2 linked regions of the Drosophila melanogaster genome follow. The gene in region 1 interacts genetically with each later gene. Each region holds a gene or a part of one and is shown in the gene's direction. Other genes may lie near its edges.

Region 1 (8,637 bases):
CATACCAAAAATACTTAATTAAATGCAAGCAGGTATTTTTTCAAATAAACCGAATATTCCAAAAACACGTTGCCCAAATACACCTACGATTAATTCTAAAGCAAACAAAATGCTCATATACACGTAGCTACTAATGTAATAAAAAGAACACTAAACGAATCCAAAACTTAAATCAGGTATTCACATTTTTTTCGTATTACTTAGACTAAGATAAAGCGAGTCGGCGAGCCGCCAGCCTGACTAAATGACTAAAATCATCGTGAGATGATTTCAAAGATTTTTCAAAGATATAAGGAGGATGTAAGGAGGAGCGAGCGTTGCAAGACCCACATATGTAACTATTTACTAAGCCACGTTTTATAACAAACATAACAACAAATCGATCGACGATGCTAAAGCAAACGGAATGAACTCTTATCAAAATACAATTTTGAGTAATACTTTTAAAACGACAAATGCAAAAAACAAAAAAAAAAAAAAAAAAAAAAAAAAAGCAATTCTCGGCCAGAGCAGAGAAACGATTTCACTACCAACTAAAAAGATCTTTAAAATTACGTACTATGCATACATACACATATATATTTTGACGCGATCATTTAGCCATTAAGTTTCTAAGAGAACAACACCCACGATTATAACTAAATTTGAAAGCATTTCTCATTTGGAAATTATGAACATAAACATACGCATACGCAACGCATAAGCATACATACATACATACATAAATACACGTACATAACATATGTAATAATTATGGAGCAATTGAGTACAAAACGAGTACAAATTTAAATTATAAGCCAGATCGGAGGACACACACGGACACACACCGCTTAAGTTAAACCATACACGGAGCAGTTGAAATATTGATAGGCCAGCTACTGGTTTCGCATAGCAAGTACAGCATGTACTCATATATTCATATTCATATTCATATTCATATTCGAGCGGAGGACTGGACTCAGCGAAATAGCCAGCATACTAACCACACATATAAGCATAGTCGCAGTACATACATACATACATAGTTACTTAACATAGACTAGCCTAGACTAGCCCGCAAAACTATACATCTACATATATATCTAGGGCAAATGATTACCAAATTACAAATTACCAAAATCCCTCCTAGCCCGCTAATCTAAATCTCATCTAGTTTGATTTGCTCTCGATAGATAGGCGAGATCGCGTTTGGCACACCCAAAAAGCATCTCAAGCATTTTCACCCACTCAGCATTCTGCATTCTGCAATCTGCAATCTGCATTCAGCAGTATTCAGCATTCAGCATCAGCGTACATACATTCATATGTAGGGGCGTGCGGGTACTAGGTACACCCACCAGTAAGCAGCTATTAAGTCCGAGTAAGGCGATAAATCGAAGTCTAGGAAATCTACCAAATCAAGCGACGGATTCAATAACGAGTTGCAGTTTAAAATTGTAATTGTGTAGTAGTGGAAAGCGAGGAGGAGGTCAGAAACAAGCGCGGACCACGGGTGCGCCACCACCTGGTGGCTGCGTGGTCTGGCACTTTTCTATATACATGCATACACATACATATTTATATACCCGAATATATATATATATATATATACAAGCGTACATAGGTGTGGACTTGACGAGACAAGAGTAAGAGTATATTTTATACGATAAACAAATTTTATAACATATTTAATAATAAATTATACACTAATAATTGTGGACACTGCTCTGCGTTTTTTTCTATCTCACTTGAACACTTGAGTTCCACAGCGCAAGCCTAAAGATAGGCTACTGTATCTCACGGGTGCATAAGAGTTCAACTAGCTAATGGTTCCATATGAATGCTTACAATGGATTGGTTGAATTGAATTGAAATTGAATGGGAACAATCAATATATTTCTGGGTTTTGAAGCCAATCTAAGGTAAGTAACGTACTCCCGGTTGGAGCTCGAAAAACTGAGCGAAGATGTGGATTGCATACGATCGTTCAATGAATCTTAGAATGGATTGATTGAATACCTCGATATGTAATCATGATTGTGATTGAAATTGATTCGGAGCAATTACTTCAAGTCATTCTACATATCTGGTTATTAAAGCCAATCTTAAGTCAATTATGGGTTTCAAACGTAATTGAAACATTATGATACCTTCGAATTGGTTGATAGAATGATTAATTTCAATCTTAGTTACTTTCTGACACAAAGATAAGGCTTTAGCCCATAGATATTTACTTCTCAAATGCCAGCATCTTTAGCTGCCTCGTTTAATGGGTGATGCCGTCACGCGGACCCGGAACCTGGGTCAAGGCCACGCTTCCATCTCCATAGAGCCCACATACATGCGACGCAAATGGGTTGCGGGCATTGTCGAAAAAGTGCCGAGCGGCCATTAGAATGACAAAAGGAATCGCTAAGTACGCCGCTGGGCATAATGAGACTTGGCGAGGCAACTGAAAAGTTGGAATACTATTTGGAATCGCATCAATTGCGTGACTACAATTGCGGCAGCTTTGTGTGCAAAGAGCACCATTCGAAATCACTTTTACAATTGTTTGCTGGCCGTAAAGTTGGGCAAAGCGAGCCAAAGTCCACCGCCAGCTGGTAGCGACCAGCTAATTTCAGTGGCGAGAACAGGTAATTACGGCATTAGAATCCGGACTGATATGCCAATTGGCAGGTTTACTGGACTAAACGCGATCTGTTTAATGGATCTCAGCTCTCGATCTCAAGCAGACGACGTCTGGCACTGAGGTTTTTGTCCGGATCTCATGGTCAGGGTGCGAAGCTGTCCGCTGTGATTCGATGCAAGTGAATACTTATCAATAACCGGTTATTTATTAGCCGTCACTTCACTTGCTGGCTTCTGCCGCAAAACAGCTGCTCGAAATAACAAACACCTGAAAGGCAAATAGTTTATTGTTTACGGGACGATCTTTAGCCTGGCTCGCCCTATTCCTAATTGGCTAGGGCATCGGGTACAGGCTGCACTGCCTAAATAGAACTGATGTCAAATCTCAAATTAAAACTACCTTCATTACAGTCATAATTTCTGGTCAGTAGTTATATCTTGTGCCCTTAACTTTGCTTCTAAATAGCATTTAAAGAATGTAACACTTTTATAAGAGTTTTTTTTTTGCTGTAGCACAGATTTGTTACAACTTTACTTCATGATAAAAAAAAACGAGTCTAGTTGACGAACCCAATAAGTTGCCATGAGCAACTATCAAAAATGTGGATTTAATTTGAGGAAAAACAGATTTTCGCAGGCGCCCAGTTTGTAAATTGGCAGTTGGTGGTTCCAGTTTTTCCAATTAGTGCCACTCTTTTGCAATGTGACAAACGCCTTTTAAACGGCGTGTTCGTTGCACAGAAGCCGGACTGTATCGTCATTCGGATTAGTAGAGAGGTGGCTGGCATCCATCACCATTATCTGGTGACTTTGGGCCGGGAATGCGTGTGCATCTGCGACCTGTGATTAGCGCCGAAGACCCCCATTAAGAAATTCAAATCAAAAGTCGAGATTTGAGATTTAAGATTCGAGATTCGAGATAATCAAGAACGCGAAGAAAACTGAAACTGGAAAAGCGACGACGACTGCGGGTACGGGCCAACTTGGAGCGCTTAGCCGGGCTTAGACGTGTTTCGAGCGCGGCGGCGTCAGGTGAATCCGAGATTCAATCCTAATTCGAATTCGAATCCGAGTGCCCGGTGCGTGTTCAATACGCTTTTGAATACAGCGACTTGTTTGCTGGCTAATTTTTTTTTTTCGAGTGGCGGGCTACGCATACAAATTAGACCAGCACATAGTGTCCATGTGTAATTAAGCGACCCGATTCACTGTAAGCCGCTCCAGCCGAAGTGTGGTCGAGTGCATCGGTCCGGCTTTCCGCCTCCAGATACACGCGGCGGTGGTCAACGGCCAGTGGCCACTTGGCAGTGCTCCGCCACTCAAATCAGTTGGCTTTCGGGCGTTATCGCGCGCAGATTTGCTTGGATTTAAACCAAAGTACCGGATAGTGGTTATTTAATCTACACTCGCGCTTATTAGCCAACTGCGTTGACAATTAGCCGGCCCAGATGCTGGAATGAAAGTGAAACTGGAGACGGAAAACCGAAAACCAAATCCAGTCGAAGTCGGTTACATGATAAACGCCATGTGAATATGTTGTCATACAGAAACGTGATCCCCTGTGCTAATCAATTCAATTCGCATTGAATCATCGAGTGTGTTGGCCAACAGCCATATTTGCATGGTTGAACTTGAAACTGATTACTGATTATGGAGTGCTGGTGCATTTGGGTGTTTTTTCATTGATATATTGTTGTTTCAGCTTTTAAAGACTTCAAATCGTAAGCTTGAATTGTATACGATTTGTTTGATCATTTGCAATTATTTTATTATGTTTATCCCCAAGTCAAAATGTACAAATATTTATGAAAAGGGATCAAACACAGCTGCACTTTCAAATTAATAAAGAAATTGTCGAGTGTCACGACTATTAGATATCCATTACTGAGCGCGAAGAATTCTACTAATAAATACGCAGTATCCAACTTGCTTGCTATTGTAGTTTCCCAGAATTTCTTTTACATTTGATCCCTATAAACTTGGAAATTCTATTAAAAATTCGACTTATAGAAATCCATATTTTTACAAGTATTGTTGTAAACTATTATTCGTAAGGAAGTGCAAAGTTGTGCCATAAACAATGGCGGAAAAAATATTACAATCTAATATGAATACTAGAAATATTGATCATCTATTGTAATATTTCTTGTTTAGACAATATTTCAATCTTTAGTTCACCTTAACCAATTGGCGGGCCAAAAAGCTTGTGTAAGTCAATGTGGAATTTGTGAAGGATTTCGCCAGCTGGTTATTTAATTGATTTTCCCACGAGGACAACTTGACAAATTGACATTGATTTTCATTTGGTTTGCTTAGTTAAGTGTGCAATCTTCTTGTTCGGACATTTGCCACTTAATAGTTAGTAGTTAACCACATTTACCACATTCGTTTCCTGGGAATCCCTACAGCTTTTGTGCTATTTAAAAGTGTCCCCAATAGCGAATTTATAACCAAACAAAAAAACACTACGATAATGTTTGACAACGCGATTAAACCTCATCCGGAGGCCAATGGAGCTCCAATAAATGGTAAGCTAATGAAAGTCTTACTTATCAAAATGCCCGATTTTATAGAGTTTCCGTTAAAGCAGCAGGAGATCGGCCGATAACTACTGTCATTAATATTGGTGAGTCAAAAAGTTCGTATGCCACAAAAGCTTTGCATACAATGTGTATAAAAATAGAAGCAGTACTCAGAGGGTGAAATCTAGTTTTTCCTGTACAGCTTAAAACTTGATCAAAAACTAAGGGGTTTTTAAATTATATGCATTATTGTAAAGTCCAATAATCTTAATAATCTTAATAAGCGTGAAAGCTTTTATAGGACACGCATGTAACATCATTATTTAGCTAAAAATAACTTAAAATCCTCAAACACATTTAGTTTCACTCATGGTGACTCCGTCATATATTGTTTAATCGCACTCATTGTTATATGTCATTTGTTTAATCGGAGTCACCGTTACCAAGCACTATTATCGGAAAGTATAGAAGTGCGATATATAAACAAATGCGTTCGGTTTAAAGTGGGGAGTGTACTATGTCCAACTAATATTAACACCATTGATATTAGCAGATTAGGCTGGAATAACGTTCAGAATGCTCTGAACTTGTGTTAGCCGAGTCCAAAACATACTGATTCGTTATCGGAGCGACACGCTTGACTTTCCCCATCCGAAATCCAGTGTCCATATCAGTTGGTATATAGCTTATGTATGTACATTCTGAACGAAATACACATGCATTCAGTTCTGATAATGAATGCCAGCGGCCCTAGTCGAGTATATGTTCGGTTCGTGGAGTAACAATCCACTCAGTGTCGACCGGCATTTGCGTTGAAAAGGTGTGTTCTGTTCTCGGAGAGATTAAAATAGCGAATTCAGAGTGTTTTTTTTGGGTAAGCCAGCTGTTTTCTGTGCACCGACTGGATATGCTTATTTATGGTGCAATTAGGTTGCGCCATTTAGTGAACAACCAGTTGTTTTCGTTGGAAACGAGTATTACTCTTTTGCAGTTGTGCCAAAATAAATAAGTGTTTGAAAAACTGTTACGTGTTTGCATAGTTTAAGTTTACCGCTATGGAAAGTTACAGACTGAACGACATTAGCAAACACTGGATTAGCAGTGACATGAACCAAGATTAACTTAACACTTACTATTGTTTTACAAATAAAACGAAAACTTAAATGTTTACGCCAATAGACTGTAGTTACATCCCGATAATTTTTAAAGAACCACTTTAAACTTTATTATTGTCGAAATTTACGACTGTAGCTCGTCTTATATTAGGCGCCCTTTGGCACTTTTTAGCTACAAATTCGAAGCCCAGCGCGGTCACACTGGCAGCAAGTTTCGCATTCAGATCCGATCCAAATCTTGAAATATACAAGTTTTGTTGTCGCGGTGAACGGTTGTCAAAGCGCGTCAACTGCATGCGTTTATATCTTTTTTCTTCCTGCTGACGGTACCGAAAAGTACACATAATTTTAACAACAAACAGAAGACGCACAACCGAAACAACGGTAGATGCGTAACGAACGAAAGTGAAAGAGTGTCAGTGTTGTTTACATTTGCCGTGCCACCCGCTCCCGCTCACGACCCCTTTCCCTTTCTCCTGAAACGCAGAACCAGAACCAGAAACCGAAAGTCCAATTGGGATCTTCACATCACAACCGGAAAGTCAACAACAACAACCCGAGCAGCTCCAATCCGAATCCGAGTCCGACAGAATGGCCAATTTTGACGATGTGAGTGTCCAATTAGGCAATTTATTGCGAGCGAGAGAAAGAGATGTGTAACGATTATTAACTTTAACTGACACATATGTTGTTAAATGTATGAACGAAACACACACAGACGAACTCCGTGCACGTAACGAACATTAAGCGCCTTATTTTAGTTTGATTTTGATTTGATTTTTATTTGAATTTTTCGCCGCTTCGTCGTTATCCTCCCGTCTGTATGCGTGTTGCATGTTGCTATTGCTATTGCGTATGTGAAATCGCAACTGCCTCCTACGAACAACCATGACAACAACTACAACATCTACAACAACGTTGGTCGGACTGGAAACTCCAATTGGGATGGCTAACGAAAACAACAAAAACAACAACAACGACCAGACGTTGCAACGCGCCCGCCTTGCCTTTTCCAGTGGAAAGACCAGGAATGTCAGCTTTCGGTGAGTTTACTTTTATTTCGGCACTTTATTCGCTTGCTGTCAGTTAATTTTTTGCAAAGGCTCCTCGTCTTGGCCAACATATTGCGTTAAAACTGCCGCTTGAGTGGAGATTGTGTCATATATTTCGCTGATTACATTGGTTGGGAGGATCTGGAAAGTGGAAGTGGGTTAACTTCCAGCAAGCGGGACTGGAATTAAAATCGCCGTGGAAGTTATTTGAAATCTTCACATCTTCATTCTATTCCGCTTTTGTTTTGAATTTCATTGATTTGTGATTTAATTTTTTTTTTAATTTATTTAACTCGATGCGGAGTTTTGTATAATTTGACATTTATCTCTTCTTTGGCTTTAGATGACTTCTTTTAATCGCATAGTTTGATTTTAATATCCACTTGGAAGGTACATATATTTTTATCATTTGTAGTAATGGGCAATATTTTAACATTTTAATATATGTACATTATTTTCCATGCGGCTTGGAGGTAGGATTAAGATTTCAGGCATTAAGTCCCCACACCGAGCTTTTATGCGAAGTGATTTCCCAATCCGCTGGCCACCGTATCTCTGTTTGCTTTTATGACTGGGGGGCCATTACAAAGCCATTGCGGCAGGGCAGTCAGCGAACTAACTATGTACGTACATACATACGATCTCGGCTCGGGGGGCATAATAACTTTTCATGGCTATTGTTGCATTGGGGCCAACGAAAGGCGGAGATCTCAATCCGATCCCACCGACTTTCACACGCAATGCAAGCTTTGACCTTTGAGCCACACGCCCTCGAGCTTTTCACGCCGCCGTAGTACATGCGTGATAAGAACCAAAGATAGTGGAGCAGAGATGCTAAAGTCTAGTTGTATTCCGTTCCGATATGCATTAATGAGCCCGCGGCGGAACTTTGACTCCGTCAAGTGGTTGTACTTTGAATGCAATTAGACGGCGGCGGACGGAATTGTGGCATGTAACCGGAATAATTGCCATTTCCACGTCCCGACCGACCGAAGCAGCACTCATCCGCCAATGGGCATGATCGCGAACTCATACCTCATATACGTTTATGGATATGCTAATGGACAAAGAGGCCGAGGGAAATAGAGACGGAGCAGAGACCGACGAAAACAGGCGATATACCCATACCCGCCGATATCTCGGTATTTTGAGTGCGAAGTGTGAAACGGAAGTGCGGAGGAATCTCAGCCCAAGGCTGCTGGCCGCTGGCCGTTTGGTTCCATGATCTTTCAAATAGATCCGGACAAACGAACACGTTCTATCGCCGTCTGCGCCTCCGGCTACTTCTACTCCACTAATATAATCAGCTAGCTATTCAAATAGATTTGCCGAACAAGA
Region 2 (7,674 bases), on another chromosome or scaffold:
AAGTGCTCGTTGCCCGACAACGAAAAAGCGTTGGAATCGGATCGGGAATCGGCCCTCGAACCAGAGTCTAGCAACGCTATCTATGACCAAAGCAGCGGACGGCGGCGTCGACGTCGTCCGACGAAATGGTATTTAAGCGGGAAATGATTCGGTATGACAAATCAGAAGTGAAATAACTCAGCAACAGCGAGCAACAGGCTGCTAGCCGTTAAAAATAACTAACGACCAAGAAATAGCACAAGGTAAGCGAAAAGGGAGAGTTTAATTCAGTAAAATATGTGGGGCAAATGCCTTTGCCAAGAATTATAGTAAATTTATGCGACGATCACGCTCTGACATCGTGGACTAATGCCCAGTTCCGGTTTTGATTTCAGAATTCCCCAAAAAACCGAACCCAATCACTTGAACAAAATGCCTACCGCATCAGCACATCTGCCCATTCAGAAGCGCCGGCCGCATGAGCACAATGGCGAGCCCAGCTGCCAGGGTCTAGATGAGGTGAACCGCATGTTCCGGAATTACTGGGATCCCACGGCCTACTGGGTGTGCGATAAGCAGGGCACACGGGCTCGTCTCCAGCGCTGTCCGCAGTCGCAGCTCTACTCCGAGGAACTCGGCCGTTGCGTCCACTATGCCGATTGGGCCTGGACGGATCCCAAGGAGCCGGCTGGCCGAGCCAAGATCAGTCAATCGGTGTCCACAAATTAGTGATATCTTACGGCTAAACTTAATTTAATGCTAGTCTAAGACAACCAACCTCATTAGGCTTACGTCTATTTTTACAAAATACCTTTATTTTTAATGAAAATAAGAAAAAAAATCAGTACAAAATCAAAAGTTGCTCGAGTTTAACAATTTTGGGGCATTGTTTACTATTAACTTAGCTACATGGAATGCACTTCCGGTTGTAAAAAGGAATGGAATGTTTATAGTGCCTAAGCAAAACAGAATTATATGTTAGTCTACAACATATAAAGCGTTGCCCGTCGAGGATCATATGAGCAAGGCCCTCGGCTAGTCTGAATTTAGCTACCTTTCGACTAAAATTAACTGGTTTCGACAGCCTGAGTTGGGGCATGATAAATAAGAAACCTTTGAAAATTCCCCAAAAGTGGTTGAGATGTTGGAGGGAAAAAGATAATAATCCTAATAGGTTTTGACTGCGTGAAGAAACTAATCTCGCGTCCGGGAATATGCCCGATTAACTCAGGAGGAAGCTGATGCGTCTGCGATCTTAAAGCTCCACATTGACGCCTTGCTTGTTGATGACCTTGAGCTTCTCCTTCTTGGGTGGCTGTGTGTCCGAGGGGATATCCTCCTCAACGGGCGCGGGTTTCTCAGGCACTGTGCGCTTGACCTTCGGTTTAGAAGGCTCTGGAGTAGGAGTAGTAGGAGTAGTAGTAGTAGTTGGCTTAGGAGTAGTGGTGGTTGTTGTAGTCGTAGATGGCTTAGCTGTCGGCGGCTTAGTAGTTGTTGGCTTCGGCGTGGTTGTCGTAGTGGTGGTAGTGGTCGTTGGCTTCTTGGTTGTCGTTGTGGTAGTGGGCTTTGGCGTGGTTGTAGTAGTTGTCGTCTTGGTAGTGGGTTTCGGCGTGGTAGTTGTCGTTGTGGTAGTGGGTTTCGGAGTGGTGGTGCTAGGAGCCGCCTTGGGTTTAGGAGTGGCTTTGCTGGGTGGCACACCAATGGACGCCTCCAAGCCCTCGCCCTCGACGCGAACATTGCGCACCTTCAGCGTGGGCTGCTTGGCCTTTGGCGACTTGACACGCGCCAGGTACTGATTGGTGGGGGAGCCCAAGAACAAGAAGTCCTGGAACTCCAGGACGTGTGATACCGTGGCGGCCGACTTGTCGAAGCCATGCAGCGAGCCCACAATGTTGCCGTTCCAGTCCACACGCACGACAGTCGTTCGCTTGGGCGCCAGCACAGTGATGCTCTCCATGTGTCCCACGAAGTGAACGAATCGCTGCGAGAACTTGTTCGGATATACGCTGTTCAAGTAGCGGAAGGGCAGCTCGAACAAAGCCAGCATGCGGGCCAGGAACAGGCGCACGCTGGGGAAGCGAGTGAACAGGGTGAAGCCGTTGGGATGCTCGCTATCCGCGCTCTGGACCAATGGCACCCAGATGCCCTCGGCGTCGGGTGTCAGGTTATCGGGCAAACCGGGCAGTCCGTCGACGAACACCTCGCTCTGACCGGCCTTCGCTCCCTTCAGGTGATACTTTGTCAGACGCATCGCTCCGGTTTCGGCTACCACGATGAAGTCCTCGTTGGGACTGAGGGCCAATCCATTGGCGAAAGCCAGTTCGTCCAGCAGCACCTCGCTAACATTCTTCGAGCGATTGTATTTGAAGAGACTGGAACGTAGAAGAAAGCAAAGGCCGTTAGAGTAACCATAAGACCAGATCGAGAAACCGGTTTGCGTTCGTCTTACAGTCATACTTCTGTAACTTGTCCCTTAATTATAAGAATTAAGCTAACTTCAGTAAGCGTGGACTCTTAATTGAGATTAATTAAGTGACTCCCTCGATTCCTCCGCTACAAACATTTGAAATAATCTTAAATGGGTCACAAAACACGTTTTATAAAGAAATACATTGTAATGGGGTCCCACTGTAGCCCTATTCCGAATAGCTATCACTTTGAATTCTAGCAATATTAGACAGTGTCGCTATAATTTGCGATGAACTCACCGGCCGGAGGGGTTAGCAAAGCTGGCAAAGACGAGGTCTTCGATGGTGAAGTCCGACGAGGAGTCCGTCCAGTAGACGTCGCCCTCTTTGCTCACGGTCACGCCGTTGAAAATCTTGGCAGGGCGGTTGATGGACTTGCCGGCAAGCTCCTGGGCGGGCGAGACCAGCAGAGTCTTCTTATTGGTGCCCAGGTCCACCTGCCACAGGCCGTAGTAGGCGTCGGCGATGATGAGGTTGTTGCCCTGCGTATCAAAGGCCAGTCCCAGCGGACGGCCGCACCGGGACTCCTCGTAGATGTCCTCTGCAAGGGGATTACTATTATAAAATGAAATTCCCTTTATAGGACTCGAAAATACGCACCGCAGGGCTGGCCGATCTTGGTGACATGCGTGACATGGTTGGACGTTAGCTTGATGACCTCACCGCCGTGGATGCCGGTGTAGATCTCGTTGTTGCGGGCTATCAGGCACTCCGGGCCGTAGACCCGCCCCTCCAGCAGTCGCTCCGCTCCCTCCAGGTGAAAGTTCGATTCCAGCGCACCCTTCAGGTCTTTGGGCGGGGTCACACTGTACGAAGTGGCGATTTCTCCAAGGATTAACACGGGAATTACGTCAATTGAAACGGGCGGCACTTACATATAGTCCTTGAAGGGGAAGGTGGTGCGCGGCGGCAGACCGGGCATTAGGATGATGAGGAGGAAGAAAATCATGAAGTTCATGATCCTCACGCGCAGCGCATATAGCAGGCCCATGATTGATTCCTTGTGCGTCCGCCGATCACAAATTACAGCCCAAAAACCCGCTAAATTTAAGCAATAACCCCGAAGAAAGCGACACGACGGCAAAGTTCAACAAGAAAAAAACGTAAAAGTCATCATCCGGACCGGTAGAGGTGGCCGAAATATCGATATGACTATCATTCGTTGATTGAACGTACCACATCTTACACTCTGCTACAAAAATTAATTGTATGCAGTTTCTAAAAACTATGTTATTAGGGATGCAAATTATAACAAGCATAGTTGGTTGAATAACATCATAATTAAAGTACCTGTTAGCCTGGTACCTGATAACTGTTTTAAAAATTCCTTAAAACTATCGCACAATGTTGAATGTGACCATCAGATACCGAAGGCTTTTCGCGCTACCTTGCGACAGTCACACCGCTGCTAGTGTTTTTGTTTTGGGAATTCCAAAACGTCGCAGTTGACGATGAGCGATAATAACAACGCGTTGGCCACCAAGGAAGACGTTTTCGGCATGGAGCACGACCAGGACCACACCAGCAAGCACTACTCGCGGTGCAGCAGTGCGGGCAGCACGCACACTCCGAACTCCTCGGCGCACAATTCAGGTGGGCGAACGCTGGTCAAGATCGGTCACGCTGATCGGTCAAGAGTGCGGGGCGGGGGCAGCTGATAAAGCAGTGGCATTGAATTACTCGCTATCAGCAGCATTTTATTACATTGTACTCATGTTTCGGTTCTGTATCGCAGACGACGACGACGATAGCGGCGATGCGCGCCATTCCGCGGCCGCCAATTCCACGCTGAGTTACAAGGAGCGGAGAAGGGAGGCGCACACCCAGGCGGAGCAGAAGCGGCGCGATGCCATTAAGAAGGGCTACGACAGTCTGCAGGAGCTGGTGCCGCGCTGCCAGCCCAACGACTCCTCCGGCTACAAGCTCAGCAAGGCTCTGATCCTGCAGAAGTCCATCGAATACATTGGCTACCTTAACCAGCAGAAACTCAAGCAGGAGGACGAGGGATCGGCGCTACAAAAGGAGGTAACAGCGTTACGGATCATTAAGAACGGCTATGAGAACATGCTACAGCATCAGCAGGCGAATCCAGGGCCGGAGGAGGCACGACTCACCGATGAGGCCAAGTTTCAAGTGGTAAGTATGGAGCGCTTACCTCTATTATAACCTCTAGAATCGCCACCCACCACCCTCCTCCGTAGTTCCAGGCCATTATGGAGGAAATGTTCGAGACATTTCAACACATACCCATGGAGAACTTTAAGCAGCTGACCACCGGCATTATCCCCTGGCTGGAGGAGCACTGCAAGCCGCACATCCTGCGCAACATACTCAGTCGTACCTTGCAGCAAATGGCGCAGGAGGCTATGGAAAAACAGGAACTTCAGGCCATGGAGCAGGAGTCGAGCGAGGGTTTCAGCTGATCGCGCGGTTAGTTCATATTCTCATTGGTTATTTTAGAAATCCCTGTTTGGTAGATACTTTCGTTACGTTTACTGCGTACAAACATTAAATGCGTCATTTGAATAGTTGTAAAAGCGTTGACAAGGAAAGATAACTTTTTGGCTTAATGATTAAAGATTAGATAAAACTAGATTTGCTAATGCTAGCCGAGAGACTCGACGAGAGCCGCTTTATCCGCACTACCCAGCTGGCCTAGCAGTTCCAGCAGCACATTCCGTGTGTACGGCTTGAAGCGACGAACTCGCTCAGTGACATCCAGCGCGGTGAGCAGCGCTTCAAGGAATCCCTCCAGACGTCCCGCGCTCCACACATGACGTGCTTCGTGCTTTAGTTTCAGCACGCCCGATGTCAGCGTGTAAATCAGTCCCTCGTAGAAGTTCTCCTCCTCCAGATTCGCGGCCAACTTGGCGCTGGCCAGCAGCGCCGCCGGCAGATCGCAGCGGAATTCGTGCGACCGCACAAAGCAGGTGGCCGCCAGTTGGCGGACCTGATCACATTTGTGCCGCAACAAATGCCAACTGAGTCGGCGGAAGCGAATGAGCAGGGGATTTGGCTCTTTCCCGCCCGACGTACGCAAGTGCTCGACCTTGGACAAGAAGGCCAGAAAGAGTATGATGGATGACGTGACCTCCTGGCGATCACAGCACCTCAGCATGTGCTCGCAAGCCTTGGGCAGCAAGCAGCCCAATTCGTCGTAGTCCAGCTCACTGGGTTCCCAGGCGGGTCGTGTGTCAAACTCTGTAGCTTGGCGCTGGCCGACCAGCTTGCCCAGATTGGCGCCAAAGAGTTGAAGTGCCGCATTCGAAATGGTCCATTCGGGGTTGGTGATGTGCTCCATGGCCACCAGCAGAATCTCATTGTAGTACTTGCTCATAGCTGGCCTCAGTTCTGTGTCGCGCACAAGAACGCAAAGGTAATGCAGTACCAATGCCTCCCAGCGATCGTGATTGCTATCGAGACAAACAGTCTCCGCGGTTTGGTTTTCATTTAGCCTCTTAAGAATCTGCTGCACAGCGCGATGGAGCAGCAGCCGCTGTCGTGGATTATCGTTCTTCAGCACGTGAAGGAACATTATGGCGAAGCCGGCACCACGTCGTGTGGTGCTCACTTGACGGCTTTCAGTCAGCAGCTCTCGCTCTAGGCAGTCGTGAAGCATTTGGAATCCCGAATCGCAGCTGTCTAAGCTACTGGTGATGGCACGGGTAAGTCTGCCAATGCTCAAGCCGGCCGCCTCTATGGCTCCTTTGTGCCGGCAAAGCGTCAAAACGGAAACATTAATATTGAGGCAACGACGCAGAGTCTCGGTGTTAACTGTTTTGGCAGACGTTTGCAATTGGTAACACCCAATGCTGGTGGCCAGATCGCAACAGCCCTGCAGAAGGATAAACAAATGATAAGTTTATCAAGAGTTAAGAAATATATCTACGCACCTTCAACGTTAACCAGAAGCTCATCAGTAAGTACTTTCGACAAGCCTCTTCCTCCCCATCACACTTGAAGGAGCTTTCGCTGACCAGCAGCTGGAGACTCTCGTCCATGTCCTGGAAACTGGCTGCTGTGGCTGCCTCTTCCTGTCGCCGGGCGTTGGCCACATTGAGGAACTTGAGAATGCCGCTGAGAATTCTCTCTAGCAATGGCAACAAATCCTCCAGAGGCGTCTCCACTGCCAAGCCAGCCTTGACCACCTCGTCCAAGGCGCAAAGATAGCCAAAGAGATGTCCTCCGCTCTTGGCGGTCTGCAAAGGATCTTCGAAGAAGGGATCTAATTTACCGGTAAGCCTTTTCAGGCACTCATCAAATATCTTTGATCCAGCTTGCTCTTTTGTAACCGCCAACTGTGCGTAGAGGGAAACCAAGGAGCATTGGTCCATATCAGACGTGTGGCACAGTTCGAAGCACCGCTCCACGCACTTTTCACTGTCCACATGGCCCATCTGAATCAACAGGGAGACCGTTAGGTCCAAAGCATCATCGAAACCTTGTGGATTGTTGAGGGTTTCGAAGAGCTGTTGCGCCATTTCCTTTGGACGAAAGACTCCGTGCTCCAGGAGAAATATGCCCATGCGCTGATTCTGCTGAGGACTGCACATTTTTGCATTTTTTGCGACTTCTTCTGCATATAGCGACCTATTTAGGATTTCCAGCAACTTCAGGGCAAAGATCTTGGGTTGATAAACCTCGCTGTGGATGTCCCGCTCAATCAGATGCTGAAGATGTGAAAAGAATCGCTTGATATTCTGAGCCAATGCATGGCCACCCACTCCGATGTCCGCCTTTAGAACCTTTTGAAAGTGCTTGGCCGTGTGATTGATAATCGTTGGCATCTTGCCCAGCATCGTGTTCCGGAACTCTGAGCTTTCCAGACAGCGATGTCGCTCTACAAAGCTGTGAAAGAAATCCAGACAGTCTTCGACGGCAAAGTTTCCCAGATTGTCAACCAGAAAGCGAAAGATCAACAGCTGCGCCTCCGTCTCCATCTGGCTGCAGTTGGTCAACAGCTCGGTGCTGATCTTAAAGAAGTGCAGCTTGGAGGTAGCATATATCTCCCTGGCGAACATGCTGAAGATCAGAATCAGACGTAATTGATCGCTCGGCGACCTTTCCTCCTCGGTGGCCAGGAACTCCACAATCTGAGGATTTGCTTGCAGCAGCTCAAACAACTCTTCCCGCTGTTGGATGCGCAGGAACCACTGCGAATGAAAGTTCTGAATCTCGGCCACACTGCCGTTAAGCAACAGCTCCACACTGGCTGCAAGTAGTGCCG

Evidence for each region.
Region 2: of Aldh-III (region 1) and bigmax, changing one suppresses a phenotype caused by changing the other (phenotypic suppression), as found in Drosophila melanogaster (one study listed by BioGRID).

Annotation. Positions count from the first base shown.
Region 1 is NT_033778.4:7,471,941-7,480,577, reverse strand, and holds the start of Aldh-III (aldehyde dehydrogenase type III), read left to right. Parts: upstream 1-3,415; 5' UTR 3,416-4,331; intron 4,332-5,018; 5' UTR 5,019-5,083; coding exon 5,084-5,138; intron 5,139-5,197; coding exon 5,198-5,236; intron 5,237-5,918; exon of another isoform or gene 5,919-6,006; intron 6,007-6,447; exon of another isoform or gene 6,448-6,734; coding exon 6,735-6,856; intron 6,857-7,231; coding exon 7,232-7,290; intron 7,291-8,637.
Region 2 is NT_033777.3:27,284,694-27,292,367, reverse strand, and holds bigmax (bigmax), read left to right. Parts: upstream 1-3,841; 5' UTR 3,842-3,898; coding exon 3,899-4,040; intron 4,041-4,182; coding exon 4,183-4,583; intron 4,584-4,648; coding exon 4,649-4,870; 3' UTR 4,871-5,002; downstream 5,003-7,674. Other genes in the region: CG3348 (uncharacterized protein), read left to right, coding at 412-708; Hmu (hemomucin), read right to left, coding at 1,235-2,351, 2,688-2,988, 3,048-3,253, 3,323-3,438; CG3368 (uncharacterized protein), read right to left, coding at 5,053-6,282, 6,341-7,674.